Linked DNA regions of Coturnix japonica. The protein of the gene in region 2 interacts with the protein of the main gene of each other region in a pairwise test. Links are inferred from orthologs where the notes say so. Each region holds a gene or a part of one and is shown on either strand. Other genes may lie near its edges. The genes, in order: KCTD4 and EFHC1.

Region 1 (3,923 bases), on a different chromosome or scaffold from region 2:
GATTAGATTGCATTTTCTTTGTGCATTCTTAATGTTGGCTTTCTGTACAAAGCAGGTATTCTGGGAAAGCTAAGAAACCACTTGCCTGGGTTTACTTTCTCTAATAGCATTTCACTTGAGTTTTGGGTTCATTTGAGCTCTGTGTGATGATAGAGTTCACCGATGGTCAAAGCTTAAACTCGGTGTTTGTACAGCTTCCATTTGCATTATGTGATGATTTTTCAGCTGGCTTTTGTGGAGTGACTGGTTTGTAAACTTTGTTTAAAATACAAACAGGAAGATGTAATAAACTGTGCACATGAGGAGAAAGAAGGTATTTGTTCCACCGCTCATATTAATGCTTCCTAAATGCTAGCAGGTGATCTATTCAAAACTAATACCACTACCTGCTTTTGGTAGGCTGTTGTGCTCTGCTAATTGCCTCTCTTTATGATCACCAATGATTGATTAGTAGAAAATAGTGCCTTCAGCACTGTAGGAGGTTGGAAACCTGTTACACAAAATTGTTGGAAACCTGTTACATGAAATTTTATGCCAAACATTTTTATTAGCCATCTGATAAACATATATAACCAGAAAAATGCAACATTCTCTTTAGAGTGAATTCATTTTCCATAATAAAACAGACCCCCCAGCATTACTGGTTGGCTGACATGTTCTTAGCAGTTGCTATTAATGTAGTAGCACAGCTGTAAATTTCTTTTTAAGAGAGCTGAAATCAGAGTTGTTTGACTTCAGAATCGAGCAGATTAATTTTAAACCCTCTTTCAATTTCATGTGTTTTTTTTTGCAAACTCGTCATAAAAACAAATTAGCATCAACACTAAGGAACACTGAAAATCATTTATTCCAGTTAAAATCCATTCTGAATTCATGAGGAGCAGCAGAACATATCGTGAGCCTGCCTGTTGTATGAGAACAGTCTCTGTGCTGCTCGACAGAGCAGTGAGGTGTATGCGTGTTAGTCATACAAGTACACAGAAATTCAGCCAGACTTCCCGGTTGAAAGACAGCATGAAAAAAAAAAACATAGTACAAATACCAGAAAGCGTTCGGTCTCTGTTTACAGTGGTTAGCAGATAAATTTGATGCTTGAATTGAATAAAAATTTCACTCAGCTCGAATAAGCCGGAGATGGATGTCGTTACGAGATTTACATACCATTAGCTCACATTAACTGATTAGCAGCCGAGCTGTGTGGTACAGGGCTGGTTAGATACGAGATCTGTGATGCCAGGACGCTGCCGTTAAAGGAGGTCTGCCGACTGCATGCTTGTTTCCTCTGCCTTTGTAATTACTTGATAAAATGAAGTGCATCGCTGTGAACAATAGACCCTTTGGAACAATCCAGGCTGGTCAGCAGTCTGAATCCACATTTTAAAGCCATCATAATTGCCTCAAACTTAAGAGTTTCCAGGGTACAGACGAAGGTGTTGTCCTCCTTCAGCACAAGTCGCGTACCATTTTCAGACTTTATGAAGTATTTGAATTGAATTATATTGGAAGAGACTGAAAACTCCTCTGGAAATCCATCCAGCCTGCTTTTGGACACCAGTACGATTCGGGATTTAATTTTTGCTATGAAATCAGGAGCGTTACAAAAGATCCGGAGCCCCTGCGAGCGGTCGTGGCTGTCAGTTATTTCCAGGAAAGTGGTCTCTCGAGACGCGAGCTGCTCCTTCTCCCACCTCGATTTTACTGCATCCGATAAGACTTTCAGCTGAAAGAAATCTGCTTCGTGTGCCAGAAGTTGATTTTCTCGAAACCCTTCCGGTAGAAGAAGTTCTCCATTTCGGAGGAAGTTCAGAATGTGTCTGAACAGGAGTCCATCTCTGTCTATGAAGTAATGTCCATCCGCATCGAAAGGGCACATTATTTTTCCATTGATTATACCTTCGAGGAAAGAATCTGGGTACTTGGTTAATGTTTGTTTTTGTGTGATGTACAGATAGCCGCCAACGTTCAGAGTAACCAGAGACGTTTTATAGTCCTTGTCTTGCTCAGAGCCCTCGAAGTTGCTGTGGTTTTCTTCAGATTCCTTTGCTCTTCTGTTTGATTTTCTCTCCATTATCGAAGCGAGCACAGCGATCTTGCTTTGTTCTTGTCAGCTTGAAAAGGGAGAGATTTTGATTTAAGAGCACCTTTCTTCGGCTCTGGCACGATGTTGGAATGGAAATGCTGCTAGCATTGCTCGGGCTGTCAGCTGGGTTTTGCAGTAGGTGGCGTATCAGCTGTGTATGCAGGGAGATGGCAGGAATATGACTGTAGAGGGAATTTGCATTTAACTGTGTGAGGGAAGGAGGGGATAAAAACCACTTCTCTTTCCGTCCTTACACCTTGGAAGTTTACAGAGTTTTGAGGGTTCCACACAGAAATGAGTAATGCTATTCTAAAGGGCACCTTGTTTTTAATGCTTTGCGACGCGTTTGTAGTATCAGCTGGCCAAATCGTGTGTAATGCTTCTGGAGTTAAACACTCTACTTCATTTATGGTGCAAGGATCTCAGTTTGCACAGAGCTTATTTTTACATTTTCCTTGTATTATCTGTGGTACCTGAGCGTACAACAGGGCAGCACTGAAGGTGAAGGCATCCCTAGTAGTACGCAGAGAGGTATCAGTTCTGGTTATTCCTCACATATAGGACGTGTGTGTGTGGCGCTGAGATGTTTTCACACTGTTACTTTAGAAGTGATGCTGAAGGCTTGTCTGTCTGGTGCGTTTAAGTTTGTGATGAAAGCTTCCATTTTCATCTGATGGAAGCATCCGCACCAATACAAGCATTGCAGCCTAATGAGGTTTAGCTTTATCTGTGCCATAGATAAAAATTGTTTTGGAGAGGAGAGCGGTTTGCTGTTCACATGCGTGCTGTTTCTTAAGTCACTAAGTAGCATCAATTCTTTCTTTTTCAATAGCAGCATCGGCTGCCCTGTGAACAAAGGGTTAGTGTGCTCACAGACAGCGTGCTGAACATCACATAACGTTACAGCTTAGCAACACTTGTGTATGGGGGGAGCAGCGGCAGAGCGTGCTACAATCAAATGGCTGTCTCCTCTCTGTGAAGCTGCGCTGAGGTTGGCTCTTGGGCTTCTTTATAAGGAAAGGTTTCCCCTTTAAGCAGGGAGGGGAAGGCTCTGCATACATCTGTACATACATTTCCTGGGGCCAGGGGGAACCAGGGGGTGGGAGGCACCGTGTGCATCCAGAGCAGTGTGAGCAGTGAGCACTGTGAGTAGTGAGCACAACGTTGGGCTGGCCAGGGGGAGCCGAACCCATCTTTGTCCAGAGTTTTTCACTTCTACAGGTGGATTCCTCTTGCTTTGCCCAATAAACAACAGAAAGTCAGATGATCCTTCTGTGAATTTCTCTGTTTCTAAAGATATTACTCATACTGTTCCCGCTGTCTCTAAGGCTGTTTATCGATACTGTAGAATCATCACTATAATATTTTATTAATTGGTAATTAAACCTAGTACAAATAAATGCACTTTTTAAATCTGCTATTCAGCCTTGCCAGGGTATCCCTACCACTGATACTCAGTTTTTTTCTGCTGCTGTGTGTGATACATTAAACAGATATTATTCATTAGATTGATTTTATCAGGAATTAGTCATGGCTTTAATGTTAACTCTTTGGGACCATTTAGCATTGCTAAATTTCAACCACTTTCTGATTTTTAAACATTTAAACTTTTTTTTTTTTTCAAAGTCAACACCATTCACATTTATCGAGAGAATAATCAAGAAAGTGAAAGGCTGGAATAGTTTGATTTAATTTATATTTTTTTTTGTCATTGCAAGAGACTCCCATTGAAATTAAATTTGTTATCCAGTGATGGAAAATTCAGCTAATGTGCTTATATCATATATAACTTTAGTGTTAAATATAGTGTTAATGGCTGCTAAGAGAATGATTTCTGTGGTGC
Region 2 (3,923 bases):
CAGGCTTTTAAGGGCATGAACGCCAGGCTACATCTCACAATATCAGGTGAGTAATGCAAAACTGAAAGGGAAAACCCAGAATGTAAACTCCTAATCTCAGTTGCTGCCAGCCCATATTGGAGAAATGCTACTGAATTAAGTATTTCTTGCCATGTCTGTAGAGCTTCATATAAACACTGCTTCTCCTCCCAGGGTCTCAGTTCGTTAGAGTGCATCTGAATAACCAGTAACTAACTACGTTATCTTATCTGAATGCAGAGGTTTTTTTACAGCATGTCTCCAAATTCACATAGAAAACAAGTATCTTGCTGATCATTTTATAGGCTGGAACATAGAGGCAAAGTGAGGTGATAACACTCACTGAGCAACATTGCAAAGACATTTCTGGAGTGCAGATCGACTTAAACATCACCAGTAGGGCAATACTTCCAGTTACTCTGAAATAACAATCTGATCTGCTAAATCCTCTGGGTGTTTCTTCTGCACACAGCGCCACTGATGTCAGTAGAAGCACGCACATGACTAAAGCAGGTGGGGTTTTGCTGATAGAAGAAATAATATTTTGCTAGGGGCAGAGATTTGCATTGTAAATTTCCAAGTGGTTACTGAGAATAATGCTGAGATAACCTTTATAACTGCACGATTGAGAGTATTTGTTATGAGTGAATGACTCCATTTACTGTTGAAAACTCAGTCGTCACTGACTTAGAAAACAGTGTGACTGTTTGTGCTGGAAGGCACCGCTGGGGTTGGTACAGTGGAAGTTAAGAGGCTCTGTGATATGGATAGAACTTTGACTGACCTGCAGTGGGGCTCACCATCCCTTGAGAAGGTTTATCCTTTATCCCAAAGCGAGGGCTGTGTTAGTACAATGGTCTTTCTTTTGTGGAGAAGGATCTACAAGAGGTATCAGGATGACATAGAAGGTCTTGCCCTGGAAGGGTTAGTTTTCAACAGGAATATCAAAGACATGCCCCAAGATTTTTGTCTGTTTGTTTTGCAATGGAGCATGCCCCACATAACAAGGATCAGATGCAAGCGCATGATGTTCCTTATCCTGCAATACCGGAGCATAGTGAGGCCTTTCTAGGTACTGGGAGCCCATTCTTAAAGCTATTAGGTTCCACAGAGACATCAGGCATGCCCTGCTGTATCCATTTCCTACCGAAGTTTGTGAGCTTCTGAGCAAAGCAGTCAGGAAAATTCAAAGACTTTGGCTTCTAAAACTGCAATTATAGTAGCACTGAGTTGAAGATGAGTAACAGTATCAAGATCTGAGATATTAACTTCCCATGGAGAAGGAAATGCAAATTGTCAGCTGCTCTAAAACAGCACTAGAAGGAACTCAGGGTGTATTGCTTTTCATCTTGCTTTTGCAAGAGGATATTGGGAGGATTTGAGGTTACCAGATCCTCACCTTGTTGACCATTGTGAGTGGGGAAAAGGAAAGCTTGCTTCCTTATTTAGGTATCTATTCAAATGCAGAGGATGAGTCTACTTCTTCCAAGGAGTGTGAGTACAGCTGAGAAGTTTCACTTCCTTGAGAATTCTGGAGGCTGCAATGGTATCAGCTCAGTGGAGGGATACCAGTTCTCTGACCAGACTCTCAGTTCTCAGGTTCCAGAGCATCAGTTTCATATGGTCTATCAAGCATTAAATTCTCCAGGCAATACAAGGAAGGCATCTATGGAAGAATCAGGTGACTGTATGGGTCCTGGTTCAGGGCAGTACCAGAATGAGAAGTAAGTTCATAGAATCATAGAATGGCCTGGGTTGAAAAGGATCACAATGACCACCTAGTTCCAACCCCGCTGCTATGTGCAGGATTGCCAGCCACTAGACCAGGCTGTCCAGAGCCACAAAGGAAACAGAACACATAACTGAGGTGGTTCAGAAGTGGTCTGCCTGTTTATAAAGTCAGTTTTAGAGTGCTGCTCCCCTTTTGGTACCATATGAATTGGCAGGGCAACTAAAAAATGGATTCATGAGTACTAGATCCCCAGGGTTAAGTCTGCAGATAGTGGTTCTGTTTTGGGGCAGTTTAAGGGGACATCAGATGGGTGCAAGATGCAATGGCATCTTGGGGATGGATTTAAAAGCACCAAGGAGGCTGGGCTCAGCCATATCTGTTGCTCTGGGAACTTGTCTTGACTTGAAATTGCCTTGGGACAGCTCAGGGAGCTCCTGTGGATGAGGTTAGGGGAAGCAAGTGGATTCAGAGAGTTCATTCCCCCCCCCAGGAGTGAGTGAGCTCAGCAGGCAGCTGTTGGCTTAGAGAAAAACCAGCTTCCCTGGGCAAAGAGTTCAGTGGTTTTCAGCTCCCTTGGGTGAGTTTATAAGGATCTCAAGCCCTTTGAGAGTCAGTTTGGTGGATATCCTGAGGGGCATCAGGTGAGCTGGGGTGTCAGGTTATCCACAGGATACCAGCTCCCCCAGGGATTTCAGATTAATTGAGGAAGTACCCAACCTCTTGTGGGGATTAGGAGGTGATCTGGGCAAACCACAAGCTGACTAGGGTAGGCCTCTGAGAAGATATAAGGTGAATGTGGAGATACCAGGTCCACTGGGGAGTTAGAGGAGGGTCTGAGACAGTACCAGGTTCCCTGGGAGCGTGAACAAGGACACCAGGATCCCCAAGGAACCACGGGTCAGTGAAAGTCCCCCATAGCATCTGGGCTGTGCAGAAGCCTCACAGGGCTCCTCCAGCAAGGGCTACCTTCAAGACCAGGCGGGGGCTGGGGGTACCGATGCTGAGGGGTCCCGAGAGCTGGGCTGAGCAGGGGCTGCGCTCACCGTGGGGTCCCTGAAGGAGCAGCCCGGGAGGAAGGGCAGACCCGGCCTCGGCTCCGAGCTCATGGCGGCTGCTTTCACCTCCCAGCTCCCAGCGACGCTGTCTCTATGGCAATCACCAGGCCCCGCCTAATACGCACGTTCAATAGACTAACGGCGGCTGCGGCCTTGTCCCGGCTAAGGGCCCTGAGGGGCTGGGCCTCGGCTGTCACCACCCCCGTTGTGTGTAAAAGCAGCTGCCTTGAGGCTGTGGAAAGTGTTCCTCCTCGTATTTCTTTCCCTGTTGCAGGATGTAGTTGTGCTGCTCTCACAGCTGGGCCTGTGTATGTGAGACTGAAAACATGTCCAGGCTGTGGGCGGCCTGCCCTCCTCATAGAGAAAAGTAGCTGTGAGACTCTACCCAAGTTCTCAAAATACCCCACAGGAGAAGAGGTTGTGCTTATTAACCATGTTATATATATATATATATATATATATATATACACATTAGCTGTGGAATAGCCAGTTATAACACTGACACAGATCCCCCACAGTGTGAGATTTCACGTATAGGAAGGAGGAAAGCCTTTAAATGTAAAGATCCTGTGGGAAAGTTGCTCTTAAATGTAACAGATAAGGAGAGTCACGTCGATCACCAAGGAGAAAAGAGGGTTTTGTGTTTCTTCTTCCCTTTAGTGCCTTTATGTTGGTGTGTAAGACAGAGCAGGCTGTGATTCATGGGCAGGCAGCAGGATCTGAGTCTGTAAGCAGAAGTCAAGCAGGAACACAGAGAGACTAAAAGCAGCAGGGAGAGATAAAGGTGTCTGATGGGCTCAGAAAGGGAAATAATAACTTGAAGGCCAAGCAGGGTTGAAAGGCAGCAAGCAGACAGTGAGGAACTGGCTTGGATGTGGGTGTTGTTGGGGCTTAAGCAGTCTGTCTGATTGCTCCTGGTGTGGGATCCAGCCATCATTCAGCAGGTATCCTGAGCACAAGGGCCAGTACCTTCCTAAGGGAAGGAAACTTGCCTTTTTGGCTCCAGATATGAGCAGGGACTGGATCGGAACACTTCACTTCCTCTGAGTGTTTGAAGGCAGATGGGGATGTATGATTTAGGAAGACCATGGAAGAAAGGGGCATCTTTGACAGCAAAT

What was found.
Region 1: the proteins of EFHC1 (region 2) and KCTD4 interact in binary tests that used the Homo sapiens proteins (3 or more experiments, as listed by UniProt). The two-hybrid records come from large-scale screens. The link is inferred for Coturnix japonica from reciprocal best matches to the Homo sapiens genes EFHC1 and KCTD4.

The regions. Positions count from the first base shown.
Region 1 is NC_029516.1:150,110,204-150,114,126, forward strand, and holds KCTD4 (BTB/POZ domain-containing protein KCTD4), read right to left. Parts: upstream 2,569-3,923; 5' UTR 2,069-2,568; coding exon 1,295-2,068; 3' UTR 518-1,294; downstream 1-517.
Region 2 is NC_029518.1:98,073,249-98,077,171, forward strand, and holds the start of EFHC1 (EF-hand domain-containing protein 1), read right to left. Parts: upstream 2,857-3,923; coding exon 2,794-2,856; intron 1,693-2,793; exon of another isoform or gene 1,430-1,692; coding exon of another isoform or gene 1,418-1,429; intron 1-1,417. UniProt on the Homo sapiens protein: Microtubule inner protein (MIP) part of the dynein-decorated doublet microtubules (DMTs) in cilia axoneme, which is required for motile cilia beating.